Linked DNA regions of Caenorhabditis elegans. The protein of the gene in region 1 purifies or fractionates together with the protein of each later gene. This does not show direct contact. Each region holds a gene or a part of one and is shown in the gene's direction. Other genes may lie near its edges. The genes, in order: unc-108 and gdi-1.

Region 1 (16,444 bases):
AATCGCGTCTTTCAATCGTAAAAGGATATTGAACGCTGTTTCCCACTCAGATTCCCACACTTGATGCTCAACGGCTTGTCGTTTCACCTCATCCATTCCTTGCAGATGCTGCAGGAAAAGCAGAAAATCAGCGAATCCTTGAACAAATCCATCGATAAGTTCTCGATTCCAGTCGCTTTCCGATGGCACAGCATTCAGGATATAGGCCATATCTCGAGTGATATGAAGGGATCTTCTTAATTCTGGTGGAAATGAGCGACTTGTGAAATCAAATCTCGCGATTTTTCCGTCATTGTAATCTGAAAATTAGAGAAATTCAAATATTGGTTTGATACAGGGGAGGGCGGCTTTATTTCTATATTTCCGGCAAAACGGAAATTGCCGAAGTTTTCGTTTTTTCGGCAAATTGTGGTTTTGCACATTTCTTTTTTGAAAATTTGAGAATTTCAATTTCAATCGGCAAAATTGTACGCATCGTATAAATGTTCTCACATCTATTTTGAAAAGTAAGCAAATTTTATAAAAATAGCTGAAGAAAATAAGAAAAAATTTCAAAAAAGAATCCCAGTTTTAAGTGTTTCCGTCTAACAACTTCCGGAAACTTGCCAAAAATCAAAATTTCCGCCCACGTCTGGTTTGATATTTTCAAAACTCACACTTCACAAATTTATCAGTCTGATCCCGAATCGCTTTCGATATCACACTGAATGCTTGATCTTCGGCGACAAGTTTCCGAGCCAGACTAGGAACAGTCATGAATTGAACTGATAACCCAACAACTGAAACATCCATCTCATGATCATCTTTAATGAAATCCTCGTAAATTTCATTATAATGTAGCATAAAAGCCTTTGCAAATCGAACTTTCTGATCATAAATCATGAAAACTGTCCGCATGAGCATTTGATGCAAAATCGATCTTCCAGCTTTCCACATTTGTGTATCCTGGAGAAGAATATTCTCTAGCATTGTGAATGTTGAAGAATCTCGTGAAGGACCTGGAGATTCTTGATGTTCTGAAACTCCTGCCAACGCTGCTGTTATCTCTTCTTCATCATCCGCGTCAATTTCCATTTGCAGAGCTTCTCCACCAATATCGTCGTCATCCATTTCATCAACATCCATTCTTCCATCAAGTGCGAATAGTTCTTCCTCTTCATCATCCGGCAAAACCATAACATTTCTGATAATTCCGGCAACTAGACGTTGATCCTCTGACTTCATTTTCCGCGTGTAATTCTTTTTCAGTGCAAACTTTGAACTCAGCAGAATTTCTCCAACAATTTCGCGAAGGGGAGCTGAAAATAAAAACACGATTTCGAATAATGAAAAGAAATAAAAAGAAATAAAAACTAACGAAAAACATCCATCTGTGTGTTGAGCCAAGTAAGAAGGGAGATCGAAAAATTCTGAAGCGCGAAAAGCGTGGTATCCATAACCTTAACACTTAACGGTAGATTATGATTCGATGATCTTCGAATTGACGTTGGATCTCGAGCTGTTTTTCTCTGAACATCATCCTTAGCTTTGGTGCAATCAGCCTTACTGCCAAGTTTCACAGCACTTCGACCTTCTCGATCGACAATTGTGGCTACAAGCATCGCCTGATCCTTTGTACAATGTATGTACAATTCCAGAACTTTGATCACCTGGAAAAAACGGGGAAATTGAAGATTTAATTGAAATTCGGAATATTAATTACTAACAGATTCATAAGTGTGAGTTTCATCATTGTAAAGAACCGTCAAATATTGCTGTGCCTCATTTGTAACCTCTGGCTTCATTTTCTCGAAAATTTCGGGAAGTTTGAGATCATCTTTATGAGTGATCATTGAAAGGGAAAACTGTAAAATGATTTCCACCAGCTGTTCACATCGTTTTTTCAATTCTGGAGCCAACACTGCCGCCTCTTCATCGTCCTTTTTCTCGTGATTTGCACATGCGTAACCTTCTGTCCATGCATCTGCATCACCACAGTCACAATATCCCGAACCGGAGGAAGAGTGCATCTGGAAATTTTTTTTCAATTATAAATTGGATTTACTTAAATATGCGTGTTTTATCATTCATATTCGCTCAAAATAATCAAAAACTTTTCAAGATTTTGTCTATGTTGGTTTAAAATTTCGAGAAAAAGGGCAAGTTTCGGCTAAAATCTGAATGTTTTTTTTCAGAAATTTTCTGTGGAAATTGATTCATTTTGAGGCATCCTCACTTTGTATTTATGAGATTTATGAATTGAAACTTCAAAACACTGAAGACACATGACACATGTCCCATCAGTGGCACAATCCAGACATGTATACGTAAGTTCTCCGTTTTTAAATACATGGCCACAAATTTGTCCCCGTCTTGCAGGATCAACTCCGGCAATGCCATTCATTGCTTCCAGTGTGCTCTTTGTGTTCCGAACGTCTAGTACAAATGCACTGACCAGTGGGGCTAGGAGAATCTCTCCTTGGGAACCTGAAGCAAAATTGGCTTTTTAATATATATGTTTTTTTTTTCAAAAAAACCCACCTAGAATTCGTTCATTCGCGGCTGTATTGTCCCATGGCAAATCCGAATTCACTTCGAACACCTCTGGGACCTGTACAAGCCAGTGCTTGAGCAGCAGCTGGCGTACTTGGGCCCATTCACCCTGTCGAGCTGATTGTATTAAATCGACAATCATTCCATTAGTCGAACTGAAATCGGTAGCTTGATAAAATAGGAGCATTTCATCTAAGAAAAAGAGGATTCGTAAAAGAAAATAAAATATATTGATTATTTTCCGACCCCCCGATTATGCTGCTGATGACCATATCAAAATAAGCGAACGAGAGGACAAAAAGCAGTGATGGGAGGCAAAAATGATGACAGTGGACACTAGGAGAAAGTGAAGGAGATGAGAGAGAACGGGAGGATATAGATTTGCTTCTCTCTCTCTCTGTTTTCGATGCGAGAGTGTTGCCGCAGATAAAGAGCTCTCACGGACTCGGTGCAATGCATCGTGGATTAAATAATTCAACAATGAGGAAATTGAACTATTAAAAATATTGATTATTTTTACGTGTCAGCGAATTCACTGGCGAAGCAATAAAAAAAAACTTTTTTTTAAAATCAGACTTTAGAGCACGTGGACTTTGAATGTTTCACTCATATAACGTCAAAATAATTTAAAACTATATTTTAATAAAAGTTATTTGACTTTAAAAGCAATAAAATATACTTTTTCACCGAAAAAATAACTGATTTCGCGAAAAAAAACAATCTAAAAAAATAAAAATAAAACCCTTGGGAAGTGGATCGTGGCGAGACCCTGAAGGTGAGGCATGCGCCTTTAAGTGTTCGGACTACGGTACACAAATTTCTCTTTTTGTTTTCAATTTCCTAATTTGCGTGGATCGCTGAGAGTTGTTAGATTTTTGAGTTTGTATATAGTTTTCTTTTTTATTTTCATCAAAAATTAAAGTATTTCTTCGTGAAAAGTACTTGGTCAGCAGGAAAAAAAGGTTCTCCCGCGTTTTTACCCCTTTGTGATAGAAAACTTTGCATATTCAGAAGCTTGCTCATCGTTTCGATGATCGAGATCTTTCTTCACATTTCATAACTTTTTTAAAATATCAGTATAAAAAATGGATCAATATTATAAGTTGTAATCGAGAAGTTAGAATAGCAATAGAAACCACAAAGACATTCGGGCCCAAAAATATTTATATTTTCAAACTAACTGCAGCACATGAAATTATCTTCGATTTTTCTCCTTCACGCCGACGTCGCGTGCTCCTCCCAGCCGCCGGCCTAGTCTGCGGTGTTTTTAGGCCATCATTTTCGCGCGACCACCAAATCATTTTTCGAATCTCGACGCGCTCATTTGTGCACTCAAATGACTATTTTCTGCCTCTCTGTCGTTTTCTTTTTGTCAAATAATATTGCTGCCCTTTAAAAATATTAAAAATATCATTCCAGATCAAATGTTTGGAGGATCTGCACCAAAACCGTCGATTTTCGGAGGAACCGCTGCTACCACAACAGCCTCATCTGGATTTTCTTTCGGTAATTCGAGCACATCAACAGCGAACACAGGTATCGATCGATGAAAAATTCAACTAATTTATTTTTTTCGTTTTTAGGCGGAAACACGAATACTACCGGAGGTTTTTCTTTTGGATCCGCACAGCCGAGCACTGGAAGTACTGGACTTTTCGGAAACAGCACAGCTACTGGTAGGTTTTTGGTTTAATAAACTTGTAAAATACGCTCCCGTATTCAAAAAGTATAATTTTAAATTTTTCAGGCTCAATGTTTGGAGGCTCCTCTGCTGCAGCTCCAGCCCCAGCGTCTGCTGGAATCTTTGGAAATTCTGGTGCCGCGGCGCCAGCTCCCGCTTCAACGAGCATTTTTGGAAGTTCTGCAAATTCAGCAGCACCTGCTACAGTAACGTTTGGCGCAAGCGCACCATCAGCTGGTGCTGGCATGTTCGGAGCTAATAAACCAGCTGCTCCAACTGGCGGCTTGTTCGGATCATCCACAAGTACCGCAACAACTGCACCAACTGGCGGGCTTTTCGGTAGCTCAACTGCTGCGCCATCAAGTGGATTATTCGGATCCACGGCCGCTCCAGCAGCACCAGGAGGACTATTTGGAAGCACTTCCACCTCTACAGCGGCTCCATCCGGCGGCTTATTCGGATCTTCAGCTGCTCCAACTTCCACAGCCCCAGCTCCTTCTGGTGGTTTGTTCGGGGCTGCACCAGCTACTAGCAATGCTGCTCCAACCTCTGGATTATTCGGAAATTCAGCACCTGCTGCGACAGCTTCATCTGGTGGACTATTCGGCGCAGCTCCAAAGCCTGCAGCTCCATCGGGAGGTCTTTTTGGTTCTACCGCTCCTGCAACCACCGCTGCAACTACAACTGCCACATCAGGATTGTTCGGAGCACCAACATCTGCTCCTTCGTCCGCTCCAGCCACTGGTGGTCTTTTCGGAGCCTCTACTGCTCCCGCCGCTGCTACTGGAGGTCTTTTCAGCATTGGTGCTGCTTCAGCATCCACTCCATCTGTTGGATTGTTCGGTAATTCTAGTGCTTCTACAACCGCTGCGGCAGCCCCTGCCACCGCCCCAGCGGCAGCTTCAACTGGAGGATTGTTCGGAGCCACCACCGCCGCAGCCGCAGCACCAACCTCATCTACAACTGGGGGATTATTCGGATCTACCGCCGCTGCTCCGGCCGCTTCACTTCCAACCGGAGGTCTCTTCGGATCGTCAACTCCTGCTAAGACCCCAGCCGCACCAACAGCAGGACTCTTTGGAGCATCATCGACAACCACCACATCAGCTCCAGCTACTGGATCTTTGTTCGGAACAGCTCCAGCAACCACAACAGCTACTAGTGCAGCTCCAGCGGCTTCTACTGGAGGATTGTTCGGTGCTTCATCCACAACTACGCCTGCTTCTACAGCTCCGACTGGTGGATTATTCGGAGCAGCAACCACAACTGCTCCCGCCGCAGCAGCTCCGACTGGTGGCCTGTTCGGGGCTGCGACTACAACTGCACCAGCAACTGTAGGTCCGACCGGTGGATTGTTTGGAGCAGCAACTACAACAACACCTGCTACTGCCGCTACATTGGGACAAACTCCATCTACAGTGTCAGCAACTCCATCTCTTCCAACCACAACCAGCACTACTTCCACTCTTCCAAAGCCAGCAGAAGCTACTCCAACTCTTGGACTTGGCCTAGGGCTCACTTCAACACCATTGGCTAAGGGAACTGGGTACATTTTGGTTTACTTTTTAAAAATATAAAAAAAACTCTTAATTTCAGATGGACAACATCAGGACTTAAAGGAGCTGCAACTACATCTGCAGGCCTGAAAATTGGTGCAAGTGGAAGCGACACACTTTCTGAAGAAGAAATCAAAGCAGGACTCGGTGGAAATGATACAAAAGCCTTCTTCACCGCCCTTCAAGAAGTTGTCAATAGTTATCATTCGGAAATTGCGAAGCAGGAACGAGTATTCCATAATAAAATGCTCGAGCTTAATGCTTATGACCGTGAGCTCATTACACTCGAGCCAAAAGTTTTAGGATTGTACAATGAGATGGATGATTTGAGTGGAAGCTGCAAGAAACTGCATTTCAACGTCGCCTCCATGACTTCTGTCTTGAACGATATTGAGCAAAATGTTGTTGAGCTAGAGAACAAGCTGAGCCTTCCAGAATGGCATACTCTTGATTACAAATTCCCACTTGATAGCAGATTTGCGTCGAGACATGATGTTCAGAGAGTGCAAATGTACGTCAAAGTTATTGATTTTTAATGGATTAAATTTTTAAGAAATATATTAAATTTAGCTAAAAACTTCAGTTTTCCCAACTTTTTCTTTGTAAAAGCCGATGGAAATTGATTTTTTTTCATATATTGCCCTATTTGGCATGCTTTGGTTGATTATCTCACGCTGTTCCGTTGATTTGGCTCGATTTGCATCCAATTTTCGTAATTTTTGAATAGCTATCGACTTAAAATATGACTAAATTAACGAATTAACGCCAGATAAATAATCAAAATATGCAATAAATCGGGATAATTCGATAAAAACTATATTTCAGCCGCTGCGACAAAGAAAAAGTTGACAAAATTTCGCAAAATCCTGCCATAAAACTATCAGATTTTTTTCTTGTTGAGAGTTTTTGAATATTTAAGCAAAAAAATCCACAGGTTTTTTTTAAAATCATAATAACTAAAACTTTTTGAAAGCATTTTTTTTGTTTTTTGTTCCGAAAATACTTAACACAATGCAATCGACAGTCTTGAAGACGAAAGAAAAAAAGCAAAAAGCGACAGCCCTGGACCTTACTCCCCTTAAAAATCAAAATAATAATTTCAAAAAAAAATTCCAGCGCTCAAATGATGCTCAACGTGGATTCCCAAATGAAATGTGCGGACTTCGATCTCGATCAAATCACCAAGTCACTTAACACAATGCAATCGACAGTTTTGAAGACGAAAACCGAGACCCCGCTGGAGAAAACTGAGCTTATTATGAAGAAGCAGCTGCAGAAGCTGATGGATCTCTCCACTCAACACGGTACTAATTTTAGAGTTTTTAATCAAATTATTAAATGTCAATTTTTATTTTACAGATGCTACTCGTGATAAGCTGAACAAGCTGAAGGATGACCACAATCTGAAAACGAACAACTCGTCGAAGGCCTAGATTCTTACTTTTTATTTATATATTCATTTTTTCTTTAAATTGAAACTCTAATTCTTTAAACCTATACACTTTCACCTGTTTTCTTCATGATCACCACCATCACACTATTTATTTTTTTTGTTATTGTCTGTTTTGTTGTGTGTTTGGTTGAGTTTGTGAATGAACTTGTTTTTAAAAAATATTGATTATATTTTGGTTTTTTTTTTCAAGTGTTTTTTAAAATTACACTGATATATTTTATATTTTCTTGTTTGGAAAATATTTACTTGTGTATTTTAACTCTACATTTTAAAATTAAATTTTAAATATAATTAATTGTTTTATTTCTTCATTTTTTTTTTTTTTTTGGCTTGGAAAATTTTATTTAACTAAAAAAATTAACATTTTAATATGTGGCCCAAGTTATACCCAAGTATTTACCTCTTGCTCTTTAAATTTCAACGAATTTCGTTGAATTTCCCCCATTTGCGGGGGTCACTATTGTTATCAAAAGATCCTTATCATAGTTTTTGATGCTCTAGAAATTTCTAATTGCTTTTCCTTGTGATTTTGAAAACGTTTACAGTGATGTTTCTCTTTTTTGATTTCATCAATTTATCTTGCATCCCTAGGAGCTCCTAGTCAAATGTTAGTATTTTGTGATTTTTGAAAGTACGGTAGCTGCGAGATCGATCGTTTCGAGACTGGAAACCCTACTTTTCATCAAATATCGTAAGATTCCTCGAAGGAGTAACCACCTGTATTGAAAATCGAGGGTGTCAGGTTTTCAATTTTTTGCTAAAATCGAAAAACTAAACTTTTCTTAGAAATAAGTTTTTTAATTCACCAATTTTTGTTTTTGATGTTGATGAAAAAATATATTTACGAAAACAATTTTTAATTTTCTTTTCAAAAAATAATAAAAATAGCCAAAATTTAAAAAAATTTTTTTGATTTTTAGTGGAAATTCAAAAACCGACACCCTTGATGTAAAATTTCCCAACATTGAAAAAGAGTGATATCATTTTTTCCAAATTAGTATTCGTCAAAGTGCAAAAATGCTCTCCGTCTCTTCTCAACGTTGTGTCGTCAATAGTGCTGCTCATTCGCAATTGTTGCTCTCAGAGAGCAGAAGTGGAGGATTATTCGTACACCTGAAGAGACTATATTCCCGCATTCTTTCCTCTTCGTCTTCTTCTTCTTCTTAACCGAAAAATTCGTCAAGCTTTCGCCTTGCTCATTATGCAAAATCTGTTTGCCCCGAGGTCCGGCTAAATGAAGGATCCGAGTGTGTTTTCGTTGAAGATGTCTTTCTTCTTTTCTGTTTTCTCTCTTTTTTTTCTTCTCCAGCTCCACGTAATTGGTGACTCGAGTAGAACTCTATAGCCATTCAGTCTTCTCCAACATCGTCTAACAAAGCCTCTCTTTCAGCTTCTATCTTCTCTCTCTCTCTCTAGTTGACGTCTTCTACGTCTCTCTCTCTCGTTTCAATCTCACTAACCCCCTATTCACGTGAATTCAGCGTCGTCGTCGTCGTCGTCTTCTCTACCCGTGATTCTCGTGACTTCACATAAGCACAATGTCTGCGCCTCCGCTATACGGGTATGATGATAGTCCAATAAGGAAGAGAAGCTCTCTATTGCAGAGTTGAATCTTTTGGGCTAAGTTTATTAATATGGCCATGCACCAGCTTTTTTTTCACATTCACTTCTCTTGTTAAGAAAATTTGAGTAAAATTCGAGTAAAATTACGACTTTTGTAGAATCTGCTATTTTAATTCCAGTGGCCTAGATTTTAAGCATATAATTTGAAGTTTTTAAAACTTTTTACCGATTTTTACTTTTAAAGTTAAAAAAAAAATTATTGATATAATAGTAGGTCCTAAATTATTACGATGTATGCTAGGTCTACTAGCTCTTCTGAAATGAATTTCCACAAATTTATTCGATCATTCCAGTGAATTGGAACTTCCCTCTCAATTGAGACTACAATAATTTGAACATCGTTAGTTATGCGATCAATTAAAGGGCGAAAGGATAACGCATACACTTTCGTTTGCCCGATGTAGATAACAGAAAAGCCATTAGTTGAGAGGCGTCAGTTTCATTATAAACTTCGTAATTCACTTCTGTTTCATAGGCAGTTGCAATGAAGTGATCGTACTTTAGATTTTTTTTTTCTAATTGAAATAATTTCTCCAAAAGCCCATGACCGGAAATCAATTTTTGAAATTTTCATCTGTCGCACACTCTCTTTTGCCAATTCTGTTTGGCTATATATATATGTGTGTGTGTGGTTTTGTGCATGGCTACGAGGGGCTCGACCCAATTAAACAGCACGAAAGGGAAAAGGAGTCCCTCTCTTTTTCGCTCAGCTTTCTCTTATTCCCGATTCTAGAGAGCCGCGCCCCCGACATTTGACATGGAAGAAGAAGAAGAAAAAGAAGAAGAAACATATGAGATCTCACGAGCGCACATCTTCTGAAATGAATTCCAATTGCACCTTCTTATTCGTGTTTCCTGCCAGCAGACTACTTTATTTCTTTTTTTTCTGATCTATGTGTCTTAGAATCTGAAAAAAATTTTTGTCCATATCTGGGCGAGACCCATGGAAATTAATGTAATGTGCCTTTAAAGGAACATGAAAAAGAAAATCCGAAAAAAAATTGAATTTGCAAAAAAAGATATCTCCAAGAAGCCTATTGCTCATTTATTTTATTTTGGCAAAATTGAAAAAAAAAAACATTAACATTTTTTTTTAAATTTTCAAGCAGTTATATTCGGTCATTTAAACTAAAAAATTGTGGCTCTACTCCACCTTGAAATAACCACAATAGTAAGTACAGTAGTTTCATTAAAATAATTTACATTTTTTGGCAGCAAAAAAAGTCTGCTCCCAAATAAAACCCAGACCCGCCGTTCATCACTTGTGTTATTCTTTTCTCGAAAAAAAACGACTCGATCCATTCGTTTTCAGGATATGCTTCTGTGTGTGTATGTGTGCAAAACGAAGAAGCACGTCATCCGAAATAAATAGTCACACATCTCTTTGCTCCCATTTTCCCTCTCTTTCTCTGGTTCTCTCTATCTCTCTTCATCTCTCTTGTTATAGACGCAGAGATAACCCTCCGCTCACAACCACGCTCACGAGACACTCACCACGCGCTCACTCTCTTCGATTTTTTGGCTGTGTTGGTGGTGGCGGTGGCAAGAGAGAGAGAGTGAAAAAATGTGAAAAAAAGGCATGGGTTCCTTGGAATATATATGTTTGGAAGAGGTTATATTGACTTTAACTAACTTTTTTTGCTCAAAAATTTTGCTCTTTTCTGCTATTTTCGCCAATTTTATTTGCTTCAAAAATGTTTTCTAACATGCTGGCCGAACTTTTCCCTATTTCTTATCCATCTTCATCATATGATTCGACCTCATTTCGTAACTTCCTTCACTACGCTCCTCAGTCATGAGGAAGTATTGATTGGTCTGCCTCGTCCACACCACGTCATCAATTTTCCAAAGTTTATGTTTTTTCAGTGTGTGTGTGTTCTCTTCTTCTATTACTTCTACCACCTTTCTCTCTCTTTTTTCACTTTTTTGAGCATTTTCCGATCAATCAATAATCGATTAATCAATTAATCAACTTCCAGAAGAATGTCATATGCCTACCTTTTCAAGTACATTATCATCGGGGATACTGGAGTAGGAAAATCCTGCTTGCTCCTTCAGTTTACCGACAAACGTTTCCAGCCAGTTCATGATTTGACGATTGGTGCGATTTTTAAATTTTATTCAAGTTTTTTTTTCAAAATAATTATTTTCCAGGCGTCGAATTCGGAGCCCGTATGGTGACAATTGACGGAAAGCAGATCAAACTTCAAATTTGGGACACAGCCGGACAAGAATCATTCCGCTCCATCACTCGTTCCTATTATCGTGGAGCCGCCGGAGCTCTTCTCGTCTACGACATTACACGACGCGACACATTCAATCATTTGACATCTTGGCTTGAGGATGCCAGGCAGCACAGTAATTCCAATATGGTTATTATGTTGATTGGAAATAAGAGGTAACATTTTTTTAAAATATAGATTATTGGTTTTTAATATATCGAAAAATAGGTTAACTACTGTTGAAATTCAACGATCGATCCTTGAATTTTGAAAATAAAAATTTTCGCCGGTTTTCCACTGCATTCTCATTCGAAAAAAAAGAACAAAACTAAAAAAATAGTAAAATCGAAACCTTTTTGATTAAAAGCTGTGAAAAAAAGGAGAAAAAACAGTGCCACTGGGTTGCGAATTCACGCTCCGCATCTCTTTCTGTGTGAAGTGTCAAGTTGCCTTTTGCAAAATTCAAGGATCGATTGTTCAAAAATTTCTCTACAAAATCGAACAATTTATAGAAATTTGGTTTTCCAAATAAACACATTTTTATTCAAAAAAATAAAATAAATGTTTTCAGTGACCTGGAAGCCCGTCGCGAAGTGAAACGTGAAGAGGGAGAAGCATTCGCACGAGAGCACGGACTCGTATTCATGGAGACATCTGCCAAGACGGCTGCCAACGTGGAAGAGGCGTTCATCGACACTGCCAAAGAGATCTACCGTAAGATTCAAGAAGGCGTGTTCGACATTAACAATGAGGCAAACGGAATCAAGTTGGGACCACAGCACTCTCCAAGCTCACCAAATTCTCCAGGTGGAAATGCGACGGGAGGATTGGGCGGTGGATCTGGATGCTGTTAATTTTTGATGATGTTTCTTTGAATGAGCTTTGAATGTTTTAACTAAATCGTTTGAATACCAATCTTTTTTATGTTTCCTCCTCTTTTCGAATGTCGTTAGGCACTTTTCTAGTCTCCTTTCTCTCTTCCAGAACCATAATTTTACTTTACATATATATTGCAATTGTCTCTTATTACTACCATCATTTACTGTATATTGTCGCCTGCTTTTTCTCTTTCTCCTCTCTTTCTCTATTTTCTCTCCTTTTCATTCAGTCTCTCACCAATTGTGTGAATATCTGAAATTCCTGTGATTTTCCACTCAATCCATCAGAACAACATGTTGTGAAAATCCCGCTCTCTCTCCCTCATTTCCTCTTAAAAGTTTGTATGTAAGCTCTACTTCTTTTTTCCTTTTCTAATTCTTTCCATTTAATTACTATACGTCTCCAAGCTATCAAAATTTTCAGTGAAATAAATGAATTTTATGAGCGTTTCGTCGAGGATGGAATATATTTTTCTTAAAGTTGAAGTTCTTTTTGATTATTTTCTACAGATTGATTGATAAAAGATTGAATTGATAAGAATATGGGGAGAGACGAAAATTTAGAAGAAATTAGTGGCAAGATTTTTTTTTTGGAAACTTTACAAATATGGTTTCTTAGAAGATGCGAAATTTTTCGATTTTCGTGCCAGAAGTACTGTACCAGGTCTCGACACGACAATTTTTGTTTAATGTGAAAAGGTGCGCGCCTTTAAAGGGTACTGTAATTTCAAACTTTTGTTGTTGAGGAATGTTCTTTTTTTCATGTGCTTTTATTGTTATATTTTAGTTTTTTAATCGAAAAAAATTAGAAAAATCTATGAAAATTTCTCAACAACGAAAATCTGAATTTACAGTACTCTTTAAAGGCGCACCTTTGGTTTTTTTTTGCAAAAAAATATTTTTCGCTTTTTTCGAAAAAAATGTGCGAACCTGTCGCTATAATTGAAAAACTAGCATTTTTTAAAAATATTCTTACCAAAAATAAAAATTTTTTACCAAAAAAAATCAGACATCGATGACTCTATTATGTTCTCTGAACATTGGTTAACTTCTGATCTCTTTGATATTTTTTCTTCTTAACAATTTTCTCATTTCTTCTTTTTTCTTCTCTTCGCAGATTTCGAAATCAAATTTAATTTCTTCATTTTCAGCCCCACAAATACACCTCAATGGGCCCACATCGTCTCCTCTACCAGGCTCTGTGCAAAGCCGGAGATAAATTTGTCTATCCGGTGCTTCCAGCATTCGCCAAGCCGGCTTGGAATCATGCGGCCGGTCCGAAAACTGTATTTTTCTGGGCCCCAACCATCAAATGGACTCTTATCGGCGCTGGACTCGCTGATTTGGCCAGACCTGCTGATAAGCTTTCTCTTTATCAGGTAGGGATTTGTGAAATTTGTTTTCTGGTCCCGCAGCGAAAACTGGAGTGATAATTTGGTGTGTGTGTGTGCCTTTAAGGTTACTGTAGATGTATTGATTACATATTTTTAGAGGTTTTTCTCGTTGTTTTCTTCTCGTTTGTTTTTCTTTTCAAAATGAAGATAATCTCTACAGTAACCTCAAAGGCGCGCGTGGCGAGACCATTCCGCATAAACGCGTCCTCCTTGAAACTCGTAGAGGTGGATACATGAAAATGAGATAAATTTCTAACTAATCTAAATTCTAGTGTTTTCTTCTCGAAAACTACCGAAAAAAGCAATATAATATGCATTAAAATCTAAATTTTTCAGAACTCTGCTCTCTTCGCCACTGGAGCCATCTGGACGAGATATTGCCTTGTCATCACCCCAATCAACTACTATTTGAGTAGTGTGAACTTTTTCGTCATGTGCACCGGGCTCGCCCAGCTCTGTAGAATTGCACATTACAGGTATATTCAAATTTATTCTATTTCCCTGCAATTATGTATAAAATTTAGGTATCAAAATCCGGATTGGGAGACGAAGGAGATCATGGAGACCCATAATTAAATCCATAATTTTTCAAGATTTAGGAACGACAACGAGTGATTTGTATACAGGCATACACAATACATACAATAAAGATTTATAAATATGAATAAAATTTGAATTTAAACCCTTTTCTTCGATATCATATGTGGATTAACTCTTAGAAATATTTTTATTTTTTAACACAAGTTGAGCTTCGAACTTCCCTAATAACAAAACACTAAGCTTCCTGAATGTCGGAATGCGGTGTCCAATGTATTCTATCAATAATCGTTGTTGGATTTGTGTGGGGAGCTACTAATCCATTGCTCAGAGCAGCCTCAAAAGATCTGGAGAACAAAAAGAATGGAATAATCCTGGGATTTTTGAAATCTTTTCTCAACTGGAGATTCTCAATCCCTTTCGCTCTTAATCAATCTGGATCGGTGAACAAAACACATTGAACAAGTTATATAGAATAACAATGTATTTTAGGTAATGTTCAACGCTCTTGTTGTAAACTTTCCTGTTACTGTTGTTGTTCCGTGTGTGAATGCGATTCAGTTCATCGCAACAATTACAGTCGGGTGGTTGATGGGAGAGAAAATGCAGGTGTCCACAAGGAAGCAGAAAATTGGAATGACCATTTCATCGTTGGCAATTATTGGAATGCTGATTATCGATTAAATTAAATGTGAAAAAAAACGTTATTTTCATGTAAAACGCACTTTTTAGACGGAAAAAGTCAAATTTTCAGCCAAAATTTTGCTGAAATTTCAAAGAACCATATAAATCCGATTTTTTGTATTTGGTGAGGCTCACACTACCAACTACAATCAATTTTAGTCTCTAAATACCATTGCTCTGGTTGCGTGTCTGGAAAATCTCAAAGTTTTCATTTTCAGGATCGAGGAGACGCCGGAGTTCCACCAAAACGAGCACGCCACGGAAATTGATGCACAGAATCTCAATTTGTTCCCTTTATTCACCTAATTTATAGATTTTTTTTCTTAAAATTACAATTTTTATCGCTTTTTCTGAATTTTAACCCCCCAAAACATCAAAAACTCGTCGATCTCTGTAATGTCCTTCCCGATTCCCATGATATTTAAATGTTTCCTCCTTTTTTGATGTTTCTTCCCCGATTTTTCCCGAAAAAAATACAATTGTAACTTGTCGACAAATACGTGTGTTATCGATTAAAGTTTTATTTATCGATTAAATTCTCTCTGTGAAATTCGTTTGAATAATAATTTATTTGCCTTTCTTTCTTGAGCAGTTTTTGCTTTTCGGGTTTCCTTTTTTCAGAAAATAAAAATATTTTTTATAATATTTTGAATTGAATCAACATTAGCTATAGCTATAGCTTCATCGATTTGTTGTCCAAGAATCAGAAAATATTTATTTACAAAATGCATTAATGATATCATCTGACGAGAGACTGTGCGAAAGTGAGAGGTTCAAGACACTTTCGCAATAAAGCGTGTTTGCATTGCCGCGTTTTTCTTGAATTTTTTTTATTTCGGTCGAAATATTCCTTAGTTTTTCTCCTTTTAAACGAATTTCAGTTCATTTTTCACACGAAATTTGCTCCGCGTTGTTCTCTTACAATTTTCTACGATTTTTGTGTAATCGATTGAAAAGTGTAACTCGATAATTAGCGCGTTTTATCAGATCCCCAATATCTCAAGCTCTATTCCCAGAAAGTTTAATGATTACGAAGCGAAGAACATTAAAAAAACTCGTTTGCTGACCACCACGGTGTCATGTGACCACTTTTCTTCCGCGACAGCCTTCGAAAACACGCCAAAATAGAAGAGCGCGGAATTGTGATGCATGCTCTCGGAGCCCCCGCTTCTCTGCTCTCTGGCCCCAAGTCTGCGTCTCGATTCTCTTGGAAAAATTTCTTTTTTTCTCTTTTCTATCACAAGCCGCCCGCACAATTTTTTCCTCTCGGCTTCATTTTCCAATCAGTCACCAGATTTTTTCTTAATTGTCTTCTGCCCTTGTCTGCTGTTCAGGATGAACTTTGTTCGGGAGCTTCTGCGGAAATTCATAATTTTCAAAGACTTCCAGCTTTGAAAGTTATCTTTTAAGTAAAAAATCAAAAAAAAATCTAAAATTTCGCAACTTCTCTCAACTCACACTCACGTGCCAAGGTCATTCACACTTTCTCTCGCCAGTAAAATCAAATTGTGATAAAAATAACTTGATAAATTAAATATTCAATTATTTAATATTATTTTTAAATTTAAAAAACTATCAAATTTCTTCGTAATTGAAAACGGCTGACGGTATACCGATCTTATATCGCGACCTCCCTCCTTATCAAACGCCAAGTTTCACAAGCAACTTGCCATTTGTCTTTTAAAAATCACTTTGCCTTCTTTCTTATCTTTTCCATAGAAATTTTTTTTGCGGAGCAGATTATTCTAAAAATCAATCAATTTCTAGCATTTCGCTCCTATTCATTTTTCTTGTGACCGGAAGTTAATTCAATTTCTATTTAGAATCAATCAAAAACCTTGTGTTTGTTACGCAATGCTCTTTTCTGAATTTCGTTGTTTGTTC
Region 2 (14,911 bases), on another chromosome or scaffold:
TCTTCCTCCTCGCGCACTACACACCATCTTCACAGTTGACTTGAAATTGAGTCTTCTCGACGAATTTCCTTTCTTTTTTGTTGAAAAAAGTGTTGATCCAACCCAATTCAATTCGATTTCCGGTGCCCCCTTGGAATAATTTTGGATACAAAGCTTTCAACTCTTCTGTTCTGTTCTCTATTTCCCTATTTTGCTCGCCGTCTTCTCCTCCTCCACCCGTCCGGCTTCTCCTCTTCTTGGACATTTTATCGATTTTGTTCTTCTTCGGTGTTGTGTCTCTCTCTCTCTCCCCCCCCCCTTTTCGATGTGTGGGCCAACACAACAATCCCCACATTTCTGCGTCTCGTGTTCTCACCCTCATCCGGTTGTGTCTGCGTCTATGGCTTGTAGGTTCTCGAACTTTCAGTTCTAGATGTCCTAGACTTCAATTTTGAAGGTCTCAACTGGATATTATTACAGTTCGGAAGTCTTGAATAATACTAGATCCAACCCAGATGTCCTCAGATGTTATTTGATCTCTCCAGTCTCTCGCCGTCGCTCCCTTCTCTCAGTCCATTTTGGACGCTCATTTCGACCGCCATCCCGTTTGGGGTTAACCGCGGAGAGAGTGAGTGAGAAAGGGAATGAGCGCTCAAATTCACTCTCACTCACACTCACACGCAGCAGCATCATCTCGTAGACCCTCTCTGGTTGTTGCTGTCTCTGATGACAAACATTCCCTAACTGGGCGCCCCTGTGTTCGTCGTTGCCACGTGTCATTCTATGTCGGCGATTCGGCCATTTGAAGCTCGATCCACGTGTCGCTAGGACAGCTGACGTCATCTTTTCAACTATTATGTTTACTGCGATTATACGAATCAATTGGTGAAATTATTTAGAATAACCTATTTTTTGAGTTGTTTACGATTTTGAAGTCACTTGACTGAAAACTTTCACAGAAAAGGTCTTAAATGAAATGAAACTCTTGCGTAGACTTGATGAAGTTCTGTGAAACTCCTACGTACTCTTGAATAGTAATCGAAAATTATTGATTTCTACTTCCAATCTACTCAAAAGTTAAAAAATATTTCGCAACACATCTTTTCCCCATTCTTTTCTGTATTTTTTAGCAATTTACCTTAAAATCTTCAATAATTCCAGCCTACGATGCAGTCGTCGCTTCGGAAATTGTCGAACACGTCGCCGATCTTCCCGGATTCATTGGCTGCCTCGCTGAGCTGGCTCGCCCCGGTGCCCCGCTCTTCATCACAACTATCAACAGAACGTGGCTGAGCAAATTGGCAGCTATTTGGCTTGCAGAGGTTTGATTTTTTTCTTTCTTTTTTTTTTGGAAATAAATTTGAAAATTTTCAGAATGTACTCAAAATCGTGCCGCCCGGAGTCCACGACTGGGAAAAATTCATCACACCCGCCGAGCTCACTTCACATCTCGAAAAAGCGGGTTGCCGGGTGACGGCGGTGCATGGATTAATGTTTCATCCGGTTGGAAATCACTGGACATGGATCGAATCGACTCAGTGTAATTACGGAATTTTGGCAGTGAAGAATTAGATTTGAAGATTTTTTGTTTAGTGTTGCTAGTTTTTTTTTCATGTTTCCATATGTTACTGGTGCTATTTTTTTTAATTTTCAAAAAAAAAAATAATTTGAGACCTAACTCTTTTAAATGTCAAACAATTGGGTTTGATCTACCCGCAAAATATCTGATTTTCAACAACTTTATTCTCTGCGTCTCTCCCTCCCTCCCTCTCACTCTCTTTCTTCAGTTTTTATAATTATTTTCTTGAATTCTAAAATTTCCTTTTTGAAATTCAACTTTTCTTTCAGTTTCTCTTTCCCCGCAATTTTCCAAATCACAATCCGATCAATTTTCAGGAGTTCCAACCAATTCCCCGAAAAACTCGCTCGAAATGGATGAGGAATACGATGCCATCGTTCTCGGAACCGGCCTCAAGGAGTGCATCATCTCGGGAATGCTGTCGGTTTCCGGAAAGAAGGTTCTCCACATTGACCGAAACAACTATTATGGAGGAGAGTCAGCTTCACTGACTCCACTTGAGCAACTCTACGAGAAATTCCACGGTCCACAAGCCAAGCCACAACAGGAGATGGGACGTGGACGTGACTGGAACGTCGACTTGATTCCAAAGTTTTTGATGGCCAACGGGCCATTGGTCAAGCTTCTCATCCATACTGGAGTCACTCGCTACTTGGAATTCAAGTCGATTGAGGCCTCGTTCGTTGTGAAGGGTGGAAAGATCTACAAGGTGCCGGCCGATGAGATGGAGGCTCTTGCCACTTCCCTTATGGGAATGTTCGAGAAACGTCGCTTCAAGAAGTTCCTCGTCTGGGTGCAACAATTCGATGAGAACAAGGAGGACACTTGGCAAGGACTTGACCCACACAACAGCACAATGCAGCAGGTTTACGAGAAGTTTGGCCTTGACGAGAACACCGCCGATTTCACCGGACACGCGCTGGCCCTCTACCGTGACGATGAGCACAAGAATCAACCATACGCTCCAGCTGTTGAGAAGATCCGATTGTACTCTGACTCATTGGCTCGTTATGGAAAGTCACCATACTTGTACCCATTGTACGGATTGGGAGAACTTCCACAGGGATTCGCTCGTCTCTCGGCCATCTACGGAGGAACCTACATGCTCGACAAGCCAGTCGACGAGATTGTGATGGAGAATGGAAAGGCTATTGGAGTCAAGTGTGGAGATGAGATTGTCCGTGGAAAGCAGATCTACTGCGATCCCTCATACGCCAAGGATCGTGTCAAGAAGACTGGACAAGTTGTCCGAGCCATTTGTTTGTTGAACCATCCAATTCCAAATACAAATGATGCTCAATCCTGCCAGATTATCATTCCACAAAAGCAAGTTGGAAGACATTATGGTAAATTTATAGTCTTGGAAAAGCAGCGCGTCGCACAGAAAAGAGGTAGGGCGTAATTTTGCAATCTTGCGGCACGGGTTTTTCCTACTTTTTTTGTTAATGTTTGAATGAAAATATTATCGAATTTAATTATCCGAAGACTAAAATAGTCTCACGATCCTATGAGAATTAGGTAAAATTGAAACTTTATTGAAAAATAAATTAAAAGGAGGAAAAACCGAGCCGCCGGTTTGCCAATTTACTCTCCGCCTCTTTTTCTGTGCGACTCGCTGCTTTTTGCAAAACTCACGCTTTCAGCATCACTAATTCCCTTTTTTTCAGACATCTACATCTCATGCTGCTCCAACACGAACATGGTGACACCAAAGGGATGGTATTTGGCAATGGTCTCCACCACTGTCGAGACAGCCAATCCAGAGGCTGAAGTTCTTCCAGGACTTCAACTTCTTGGCGCAATTGCCGAGAAGTTCATTCAGATTTCCGATGTTTATGAGCCATCTGACTTGGGATCTGAGTCACAGATCTTCATCTCTCAATCTTATGATGCTACGACTCACTTTGAAACCACTTGCAAGGTAATTTAAAGAATTTAAAACAATTTTTGAAAGAAATTATAATTATTCATTTTTCAGGACGTGCTCAACATGTTCGAACGTGGAACGACCAAAGAATTCGACTTCACCAACATCACTCACTTGTCGTTGAATGATCAGGAATAATTGAATATCCATTCCCTTCTTTTGAGTACTCTGATTTGACGCTTCTGATGCTGCTTTTGCTCTTTTTTGTCGCCTCTATAAAAAAAACGATTCCCGTTCCGTTTGTTTCTCCTGTCCAATGTTCATTTTCAACCGATTTTAATTTATTGTATTTTCTCTTTTCCAGTCTCTATCCTCATGTGATTCCCCGAGAACCCTTTTTTTAAATTTCAATTTTCGTCCCGAAAACAAAATTTCTTCCCACTATTTCCTTTGTATTTAACTTTACAATTCCCAAACAAAGTCCGCTTCGTAAATCTATAAATCACTTTATCCTTTTGAAGTACTTCATTACAGAAATACAATTATTATCACGATCAGAAAGTTTGGATAGGATGGGATTACATTTGATGAAGGGAGATCATTTCCATTTGAAAATTGGAGAAGAATAAGCATATATGTTTTTACATAATTGATTAAAGAAAAAATCCCAGTTTAAGCCATCACAAGCAGAGCATCGAGCTGATCATCGACACGTTGCATCATCTTTTTGTACAAATCCTCCATATTCTCGAGCAATGCCATTTTCAGTCCGAATTGTAGAGACTCGTCTTTAGCGAGAAGAGCACGTGTGACGACCGCATATGTTTCACAATCGTTGCGAAAAGCCTGAAAAATAGAAAATTTGACTCAAATTAGTCAATGAGTAACTTGAAAACTTACCGATTCGAGTTGCTTCTTCTTAATATGGAAACGCATCATTTGCTCATCGTTGAGCTTCGCAAGCTTCAACTCCCTCACCATCGCCTTCTCCTCGTCCGCCGAGTCATCTTCAGTGGCTAGTGATGAGAGACGGAGAGTAGAGAATCCAGCTGAAATTATATATTGTTTTTCGAAAAAGCCCCCGCCGGTTGTCAATGGTTACCTTCGTCTTCTTCCTTTCTCGCTGGCGGCTCATACTTGACAGTGGAGAGGAGAGCAGATTGGAAGGCTTTGAGATGACCAAAGAGTCTGGAAAACATTGATTTTTTGAGGGAAATATTAAAAATTAGAGAATAAATATTAGTTTTTCAGGGAATTTCGAAATTCATACTTATTCGTGTTGGGGTGCATTGTAATGTCGGGCATACTTGAACCACCACTGATAGCAGACCCATTCATAGCAACTGGGTGAGCAGCGGCAGAAGCAGAAGCAGCAGCAGCTGAAACCACTGGAGCCGGCAGAGAAGAAGGCATAACTATTTCGATTCTGCCAATTTGACGGGGCACAAACGCAGGTTGGGGCGTGGTCGGTGGTGGTTGTGGTGGACTAAAACGGATTACACAAACGTGAAAATTTGCCCCGCGGGGAATATGGTACCGGGTCTCGACACGAAAAATTTTTGTTAAATACTTACAAACAGGTGCGCACCTTTAAAGAGTACTGTAGCTTCTAAATTTCCTAGCAGTGCTTTCAATTGTTTTTCTCACGATTTGTTAAAATAAAAAATGATTTTCAACAAAAAATCGACAAATATTTCAGTACACTTTAAAGGCGCATACCTGTTTGTATTTATCAAAAAAAAAAACTGTCGCTTGGAGACCACGAACCGTATTTTTGGAGCAAAACTCTCAAAAAATTTGGCGTCTGGGTAATGAACTTACGCTGTAGGGAGTTGTGGTGGTATTGGTTGCTGTTGTTGCTGTTGTTGCTGAATAGGTGTAGTGGTATAATAAGAATTGACTTGAACTGGCGGTTGAGCAGGTTGTGGGGCTGAAAATTCAAAAATTGACACTAAATAGATATCGAAAAATTTCAAGAAAAGCTTTTATGGCGGTTCCAAAAATTTCGAAAAAATGGGCCAATTTTAACTAAACCCTGAATTTTCGGCAATTTTCCCTGGTCGCAGCGGTTATAAATTCATTTTTTTGTTCGATTATTGTTTTATTTTACAGATAAAAATCTATTTCCGGCCGTTGTGACTCTTGAAAATCGGCGAAATTTCAGATTTGAGTTAAGAAATAGCCCTTTTTTTGAGAAATTCCTTTAGTGACTCCTCTTACTCTCTCTAACAATCATCTTCGGAGTTGCTTCAACTTCCATTGGCACTGAATAGGATACTGAAACTGGACTTGCACCAGTTCTGATTTGATTATATGTGTTGTTGGATTGCTGGTACTCATATTGATTATTGGAAACATGTGGAGGACTTTCCAATTCCATATCATCTGCCGTCGGTGGTGGAATGAACGATGCAGATTTTGAAGCTTTTGGAGTTGGTGGAGCTGGAGATGGCGATGCTGCTGCTTCAGTTTTCGGTGGAAGTGGGATTTGAGGAAGCTCTTCCTTCACACTCTTCTTTGGTTGAGTTTCTCGTACATCTTTCCGATCATCATCTGACAACTCTCTACGTCTCTTCTGTCGTGCTTCATTATCTTTGACTCGAGACTTCTCATCAAACGATTCATCGTCGAACGAATCAACATCATCCGATTTTCTCGAGTGAGCACTGCCCGATCTTCCCGAGCTACGAGACCGGCTTCTGGTATTCGATCGGCTTCTCGATCGATTCTGACTTCTACTACGATGCCGAGAGACTCTTCCATTTCTAGATGCCGGCGACTTTGATCTAGACACACTTCTTGAGCGGCTTCTCGATCGGCTTCTCGACGGACTTCTGCTTCTAGATCGGCTCTTCGATCGTCCTCTTCTCACTGGTGGCGACGCAGATCTCTTCGAAGACTCTTGTGAATCAGAACGACGACGGCGGCGTTGACTGTTGCTTCGAACCTGCTTGGCACGCTGATAGGCACAATAACGACGTATATCACGGAACCAAGAGAGATCACAACGGCATCCCATGAATTCACGATCCGAATATCTGAAAATGGAGAGGGTTGCTTTGAATTTCTTATTTTCGGCAATTCTACAATATTTTATTGAAAAATAGTGTCAAAATATATAAATTCACACAATTTATCTAAAAACACCATTCTTTTCAGCTGAGAAACTAGAAAAAAATGGAGCAATAGGCCATTTTATAGAATTTCCGCCTATCCCTGATCCACTTACGTCTCCATAAACTCCTTAGCCTCATCACGATTCTCAAATCGAACAGCCACGAATATCTTGCTCTTATCTTGAGCCACTTTCACGAAATCGAACGAGATTTTTCCAACTTTTTCGCCAATATATTCCCTAAAACAGGCATATAATTAAAAGGGCAGTGTGGGAGAATTTCACAATTTCGTGGGGGGCCACAACTTTTTTGGAGTCTGAAAATGAATTAGGTATGTTGAATATAGAATAGCTCGTGCATTTGGTGTTAATTCAAAAGCATGAGAAATATATTCCATTTGAGAAAAAAGAGACGGGGGAAAAAGAGAAAGAGATGGGTGGGGGGTGTCACACACTCGAATATATATATTGATATGTAATACACTCACAATGTGAAAACTGGTGGAAAATTTTAGAGACTTGTAATTGTAATTGTAAATCATTTGTTGCAAAATTCGTTGCAAAAGAAAAGACCGTATCCCACAGCGCGACATCATCAAATTATTTTAGAATGAATTAGAATTAATGTTGGGTGTGTGTGTGTGTGTGTGTGTGGGAAAATAATCTCCCTGTAGGTAATAATCAACACATAGTAGGATAGAACTCTCTTTTCCGACTGAAATATAATAATGATTATACTGATTATTGATTTGGAAATTTAAATATCTGAAATGATTTTGAATAGAAAACTTGGCAAAAAACTTTCAATCAAACATTTTCTCTCTACAAATAGCCTACTTGATCTCTTCCGTCGAAATATCACCATGAAGTCCTCGAATAAAAATCGTGTGCTTCGACTGAGGAACTTGCGTCTCATTGATTCTCGGCAAATTGTTGTAGTGATGATGATGGTTATTGTTGTTGTTGTTGTAATTATTGTGACGGAAACCTCCACCGCCACGATGATTGTTATATCCATAGTTGTTATTGTGATACATTATTATTATAGGTTCACTGGAATAAATATATGCACTGTATCAATATATATATATAAAATAAGAAATTAATAGCGAGAATACTTCTGAAACTGGGGAGGAATTGGGGGCACGCACACACACAGCGATAGTAAAATACTAACAGCAACGACGGCCAGTCGCCTTTCCATCCCCAGCACAGCACATCGAGACGGATAGATAGAGAGAGAGAGATTACATAAAAACGAGAGAATCATACGAAAAAGAGAAATAATTTAGAGAAATAACGTGGTAAACGTGGATGGTGAGTAGAATGCAAAGAGTGAGAGAGAGAGAAATAGATAGGAGACGAGAATACATTCGAGGAGAAAAAATACGCAGAACCAAATAGTATTTATTAACGTGGCGTTTTGGGACGCTACAAAATGAAATTGATCGGTGCAAATATTGCTTTTGGCGGGAGATTTGAATGCAATATTTGGAAAAAAAGATGACAGAGAAATTGCTAATACTAAATTTTTTCTGGAGTGAGAAAGAAATTCTGATAAAAAGTTCCAGCAATAAGTGTAGAAAAAAGTTTAATAGGCATTTTTCGTTTTTAGTTTCAAAAATACAGTAGCTGCAGGTCTCGACACGACAACATTTTGTGACATGAAAAAAGACGCGCGCCTTTAAAGATTACTGTAGCTTCAAACTCTCATTGTTGCAGAATTTTCATAGATTTTTCAGGAAAATGTATGTGTTTTAGTGTTATATTCTTTAAACGAACACACATACTTTTGGGAAATCGATGAAAATTCCAGATCAACGAAAGTTAAAAATTACAGTAATCTTTAAAGCCGCACACATTTTTTTTTCCTTTACCAAAACTTTGTCGTGTTGAGACCTTCGCACAAAATTTCGAATTTTCTGCTTTATAACGAGGTACAGTACCCCACGAGGAATGAAATCTGGCAAAGTCAATCCTCAAACTATTCTATGAAACCACTGTTCAATAGAAAATAATTTCTGCGAATGGAGGAACGTTCTATATATTCAATTCCTTCTTTATATCTCGACCAAAATCTCCATTTTAAAGATTTTCATCTTCGCGGTGGGTGACCCATTTTCGGAATTACTGGCACGAAATGTCGATAAGGAAGAAGAAGACGTGAATTTGGAGAAAAAAAATACATACTTAACAAAAAAAACTCAATAACTTATAAGCTGAGAGAAATAGGATTAAGAGTAGTTGAAGAGCTCAGCGCACATAGAAAGAAGGTGACAATGTGTCTAATGAGAACTGGTGGAATTTGTGAGCCGACTCTCTTATCAAAGTGAAAACGAAAAAGCTGTGGCAGAGCTTTCAGGTGAAAAATGAAAAACGAAAAACAAGCCAACCGTTAATTATTTTTACTTGTGTTGGCGTTGTGTGCGAGTGTTGACATATACGCGGTTTCCCGTGGTTACACTGCCTTCAAACAAACTGAATAATGTGACGATTTATGGCTTTTTAGGAAAGAACGACTGCTGGTGGAAGGGGACAATGCACAATATGCTTTTGACTTGCAAATTTTACAATCGATCAATTGGACGCTGCTAGAGCAGATTCTCTAATTGGATCGATTTTATTGCAAGGTTCGCAACACATTGTGTGGCATTGCTTATCGAGAAGGAGTGTACGTATTTTAGTTGTCAAAAATACGAAGTGATTCATCATAGTGGAAGAACCATTGCAATACCTGCACTATCGATAGTAAGTAGTGATAATGAAGTATGTAACGAAAGTGAGTGTATATTTGCAAAGCGGAAGAAGGAATAAGAACGGACGAACTGGGGTCCAAAATAAGTATTTTTCGGATAATTTTCACTGTAACCGTATGCTAAAGCCTGTAAAAATGACCCCACGTGGTGTCAGGCTGTCTCATAGCGGTTTGATCTCCAAAAAATGCGGGAATTTTTTCCCAGAAAAATTGTGACGTCAGCACGTTCCATGCGAAATCAGACGAGATGTCTGCGTCTAAATTCCTGCATTTTTTGTAGATCAAAGCGAAATGGTACTTTCTGACTCCACGTGTGACCCGGTACCAAGATACTACGAGGAAGTGAACCCGAGAATGCACTGTAAATAGGGAGCAAAAGCCAAGATATGGGCGGAGCCTATTTCTCGATTTTTTGTAGGTCGGAGACGGCAATTCAGATCTTCCAGATTCAAAAAACGAAACTTGGAAAATCTGAACGTTCAATTTATGATTCATACCAACCTATAAGCCCAAACTACACACAATTTCCAAATCCGAACTTCCAGCTCAAATGACGTCACTTTCTGCTTCATAACTACTCCGAATTGCCAAATTTCAACTCATCTTATTATGGAGCTTTATAAAATCCGGGTCGTTTCTCTCTCCCATTTTCCAATTATAGATTCTATTAGATTACGACGGCAAAAGTTCAGCGGTGCGGGGTTAGAGAGAAGCTGACATTTCATGGCATCAATCCATCATCGAGAGGTACTGAATAGGCTCAGACGGACCGTGACCACAGAAGATGAGAGGAGGAGTGGATATAGTCGAGGAGAAGAATTTCGATCAGTTTGTGTGAGCCCTAAGGTTCTCAGTTCTCAGTTTTCATGTTTCATTTTTTTTAATATTACGAGTTTTTCAAAAATGTTTTCTTCATTTTGGTACTTAAAACATTAAACTTAATATAAATACTAAGTTTAAACCATGCCTACGTGCAAACTCGACATCTATAGTGGTCCTTTAATGGGAGGAAGTGACATATAATTATTCATTTCTGCTCCCAAATATCCAAATTCGTCATTAATTTTTTAGCGAATAGTTTTCTACGAATTTTTTCTTATTCCAAAAAAAAAATATTCGAAAACAAAGCATTCCACCCTCAACTTGATTCATTGTTTCAAAACCAATAAGTAGTGCAACGGTCTAGATCGAAATGTTCTATTCTATTCCCGACACTCTTCTAAACCATATGATTCAACTCTTCCAGATGCCATCACCTTCATCTCTACTGGGCTCCCTGCTCCTAGTGTGCGCCGTTTTGACCATCACTTCCCGAGCCTCCTCAATAATGACAGATGACGTCGAGCCGCCACAGCTTCTGACACGTCAGCTAAGGGTGAATTTTTGGGGACGGGTGGTGCGGAGTCACGTCCTGCAACTAGATTTTAGCATTTTCAGAGTTTCCCTTACTCGGTATCGTTCTATCGAATGTTAGGACACGATCGTCAGTTGAGACCCTACTATGGGGTTAATGATGAGGTGAGTCTGAGGAAAATAGTTGGACAGTCGTTTGTTATTGTATCTTTGTTGTATCCTAGGACGCCACTTCAAAGGTACACGTAGTTTTTCTAAGAGGGTCTCGCCACGATCTCAGACAGACTGGCCGCTACAAGGGCTAAATTTCACAGAATTGTTCAGTAGATGTTGGAATACTTTTGAGTATACAAATCGTCTCGAAGCTCCCGAATTTCAGGTAGCTGCTCTGATTGACTCTATGAACAGCGATAACGTGGCAAATGAAGACGTGTTCCCAACGAGACCAAGAAGGAGTGACGGCTTGAGAGGTTCGTTTTACTGGGCAAGGTTCGTAGTGTGCCAACCCGTGCTTGTGATATAGTTTTGGCTGGCTGGCTTCTAACCTACCGTAACCCCCATTTCTCATTTTAGGATACGCCTGCCGCTTCAAATTCTGTAGAATATACGACGCTTGATGGTGACGACTTACTATTCTCAATCATCAGTTCCCTCCTTGTTTCTGCAGTGTTTTCCAACTCTCTTTTTTTTAAACAAATGTCAGTTCGCCCCCGTCTTCCCCCGTAAAATTTATAATTCTAAGCATTATCGAAATAAATATCCAAGAATTGTTTATGGATTCGGATTCATAATAGTTCACTTTGCTTTGTTCGATTTAATACCATCGCTAGCTGGAGAATGTGAAGAAGAGAGAACCTTGGACTTGTTACCGCCCATTTGAGCTTTGAGCTTCTTATCCCGGAGCACAGCCTTCTCACTCTGAATCGATTCAATATCTCTGCAAGAAGAAGTTGAATCTTTTGTCTAGAACAATAAGAAATCCCCTACGCCAATGTCCTCTCATCCGACTTTTTCGCAGCTAGTGGAATGTGTGGAGGTGCGACTCCAACCGGAAAATCATCGTTCGTCGGTTTGGATCCAGAACCCGACGACGTTGCGGCTGCAACTTTTTGAACACCTGGTTGCACGAGAGAAACGTCTCTTTCCGAGTTTTTCTTATTACCCGCACAAAGAAAGACGGATAATACTGCGAGTGTCTGGAACAATGACAATGTAACACGAAAACTTCAAAAAATGAAAACGAACCAGAAAATTGATTTGAAAGAGAATAATACTAATCATTTTGCATCAAATCAGACGACGAAATGAATCGAAACCGTTATAGAAAGAGATCTTTGCCGCCTCAAAAAAAATTAGAACGACACGAAAATTTACTATATCTTTAAATTTAAATATTTTTAAATAGCCTCCAACTCAAAAGCACTAGTTCCATTTCCACTGTATTCCTCGCTCTTTCCACCCATCAAATCTTGCTCAATGAGCACTCTCATCCGTTCCAGCTCATCCAACGTGGCGTCTCTACACAGCATCTTGTACCACGGATCGCTCGCTGTGCCGATATTTGGCGTGATTTTGTGAAAATCTATCAAAAAATAGACAACGGACAAGGCGATCGTTTCATTGGAGACGTGTGCGGTTCGAACCAAATGACTAAAGTCGTGGAGCACAGCGAGAGCACTGTCGAGCACTGAAATAAATAAAATAAATTATTTAAAACTGGTTCTATATTCAATTCGCCTTACTTTTATATTTTGCGAACTCGACTGGATTCACCGCTCGAATGTAGTCGAGATATAAAGCCAGAATCTGAAAGTAAAACAATTTTAATTTCTTCAAAGAAATCATCAACCTACCCTCCACGCGTCATCATGATTCTTGCATTTTACAGAAGCTGGGAATGCAAAATTTTCAGCAACCGCGTGATACGTGTCGGTTCGCTTGAAACTCGACGACTGCGGCGTGAAATTTATTTGAGTCGTGTTATCCTTTATAGAATCGGGCATTTGATCAGGCTTCTTTTCATTTTTTGTCGCTGATCCGGTACCATTTTCCTAAAAAAATTCGAAATTTGCCCAAAATTCAGTTTGGGCAACCTACATTTTCCTTCTTACCGCACATAACAAGCACCAATGAGACGGACAGAACGTTGATAGAAATGAGAACGAATAGAAATGGCATTTTTTGTGAACAAAAACTTTAGAAATGATGGAAAAATGAGAAGAAAACGAACAATTTTGAGAGAAAACCAGACTTCCACGTTCACCCCGTAAATTCACAGCGCCTCAGAGCGGGATAGAAGAGAGAAAAAAGTGGTTTGTGCGCGCGAGCGCGCTTGCAGCGCCCCCACGAGAAATTTCCACGGTGGTACACACTAGTGTCGGATATTTACGTGAGAGTGGTTGTAGCTATACAAAAATAGAAAAAAGGGGAAATTCTATTTTGGGCAAGGAAATTAATTGAATTCAAGGAATTGTTTTTGTGATTGCAAACTGAATTCAAATCTGAAATTTTCGCGCCACACTTGGAAGTGCGAGAGAGTGTACTGATAAAGGAGACGCAGATATATCATTTCGCACAACGCCTCAAATCGGGAGAGTTGCGAAAATTGAGATGTGAAAAGTCCAATGGAGCGCGCTTGCACATTTTACCGTATCCTAAAAATATGACTCTAACCATTCACCTAAAATAATGACTCTAACCATTCACCTAAAATAATGACTCTAACCATTCACCTAAAATAATGACTCTAACCATTCACCTAAAAATATGACTCTAACCATTCACCTAAAATAATGACTCTAACCACTCTAACGTCGTCGTCATCTGCTCCACCGACCAGCACACAGAGACGCTCGAAAAACGAGAGAAGAAGAGGTTGAGCGACAAGAAACGATGGGAGGAATTAAATGATGCAGCGAAGGAGGTATGTTATAAACGTATTCAATTTATGATTGGAACCTAATTGTTTCAATTATTCAGGTGGTTCGAGCTAATGCACGAGAAGCGACAGCAAGACGCAGGGCTGTTCGCGATGCAGGCCTTCCAGCGAATCCGAAACGCTCGCCACGATATTCTCCGCAACCGGACCCTGCCTCTTCATCAACTTCTTCCACGCCATCATCCACATCATCCTCGCCGCAGCCATCGTCGTCGTCATCCACTCCACTGAGTCTCTGTGTGCTGGTCGGTGGAGTGGATGACGACGACGATGGCTGCGGCGAGGATGATGTGGATGATGGCGTGGAAGAAGTTGATGAAGAGGCAGGGTCCGGTTGGGAGAATATCTTTTTGTTTTGGGGTAGGTTTCCACGGCGGCCGACAATTTCCGAGTTTCGCCACTCACTATACTTAATCAGCAATTTTATAGTGAGTGGCGAAAACAGATTTCAAATTAATGCGCCCGACAGGTTCGAAAAGCAAACGCGCTCTGTTGAACACCTTCTGCGCGCGCATTCAAATTTAGTTTTTTCTTTCTTCCAAATATTTTTATACGGAAAGTGATAGTTTCACACTGTATTTGCAAATTTTAAAGACAATTTTTAACAAAAAAATTTTTTTTAATTTTTAAAAAATAAATTCTCAAAAAAATTCCGGTTTTTTTCAAATTCTAAAAACACTGATAAGACTCCAAAATATCATAAGGGTCCCCCCTTATGAACTGAATCTTCAGCTCCAAAGGATCACAAAGGTCCCCCTTATGAACTGAATCTTCAGCTCCAAAGGATCACAAAGGCCCCCCTTATGAACTGAATCTTCAGCTCCAAAGGATCACAAGGATCCCCCCTTATGAACTGAATCTTCAGCTCCAAAGGATCACAAGGACCCCCCCCCTTATGAACTGAATCTTCAGCTCCAAAGGATCACAAGGATCCCCCCTTATGAACTGAATCTTCAGCTCCAAAGGATCACAAGGATCCCCCCTTATGAACTGAACCTTCAGCTCCAAAGGATCACAAGGGTCCCCCTTATGAACTGAATCTTCAGCTCCAAAGGATCACAAAGGTCCCCCTTATGAACTGAATCTTCAGCTCCAAAGGATCACAAGGATCCCCCCTTATGAACTGAATCTTCAGCTCCAAAGGATCACAAGGATCCCCCCTTATGAACTGAATCTTCAGCTCCAAAGGATCACAAGGATCCCCCTTATGAACTGAATCTTCAGCTCCAAAGGATCACAAGGGTCCCCCTCATGAACTGAATTTTCAGCTCCAAAGGATCACAAAGGTCCCCCTTATGAACTGAATCTTCAGCTCCAAAGGATCA

What was found.
Region 2: the proteins of unc-108 (region 1) and gdi-1 purify together in Caenorhabditis elegans (affinity purification with western blotting, with the first as the bait; one study listed by BioGRID). This does not show direct contact.

Annotation. Positions count from the first base shown.
Region 1 is NC_003279.8:3,814,123-3,830,566, forward strand, and holds unc-108 (Ras-related protein Rab-2), read left to right. Parts: upstream 1-8,760; coding exon 8,761-8,783; intron 8,784-10,824; coding exon 10,825-10,946; intron 10,947-10,999; coding exon 11,000-11,243; intron 11,244-11,638; coding exon 11,639-11,921; downstream 11,922-16,444. Other genes in the region: E3 ubiquitin-protein ligase ubr-1, read right to left, coding at 1-299, 657-1,298, 1,358-1,649, 1,707-2,009, 2,216-2,466, 2,521-2,674; npp-11 (Nsp1_C domain-containing protein), read left to right, coding at 3,957-4,068, 4,116-4,208, 4,280-5,759, 5,810-6,280, 6,886-7,073, 7,129-7,202; mpc-2 (putative mitochondrial pyruvate carrier 2), read left to right, coding at 13,115-13,324, 13,676-13,815, 13,864-13,915; F53F10.8 (Transmembrane protein 234 homolog), read left to right, coding at 14,128-14,319, 14,369-14,560.
Region 2 is NC_003282.8:14,779,850-14,794,760, reverse strand, and holds gdi-1 (Rab GDP dissociation inhibitor), read left to right. Parts: upstream 1-1,910; coding exon 1,911-2,949; intron 2,950-3,225; coding exon 3,226-3,479; intron 3,480-3,536; coding exon 3,537-3,623; downstream 3,624-14,911. Other genes in the region: coq-3 (Ubiquinone biosynthesis O-methyltransferase, mitochondrial), read left to right, coding at 1,141-1,301, 1,354-1,551; melo-1 (RRM domain-containing protein), read right to left, coding at 4,098-4,271, 4,326-4,474, 4,528-4,613, 4,696-4,911, 5,247-5,355, 5,646-6,463, 6,655-6,780, 7,378-7,577; nlp-56 (Neuropeptide-Like Protein), read left to right, coding at 10,542-10,670, 10,733-10,813, 11,028-11,171; Y57G11C.1130 (uncharacterized protein), read right to left, coding at 11,444-11,585, 11,636-11,844, 11,894-11,929; Y57G11C.8 (Cyclin N-terminal domain-containing protein), read right to left, coding at 12,046-12,335, 12,391-12,454, 12,502-12,699, 12,746-12,826.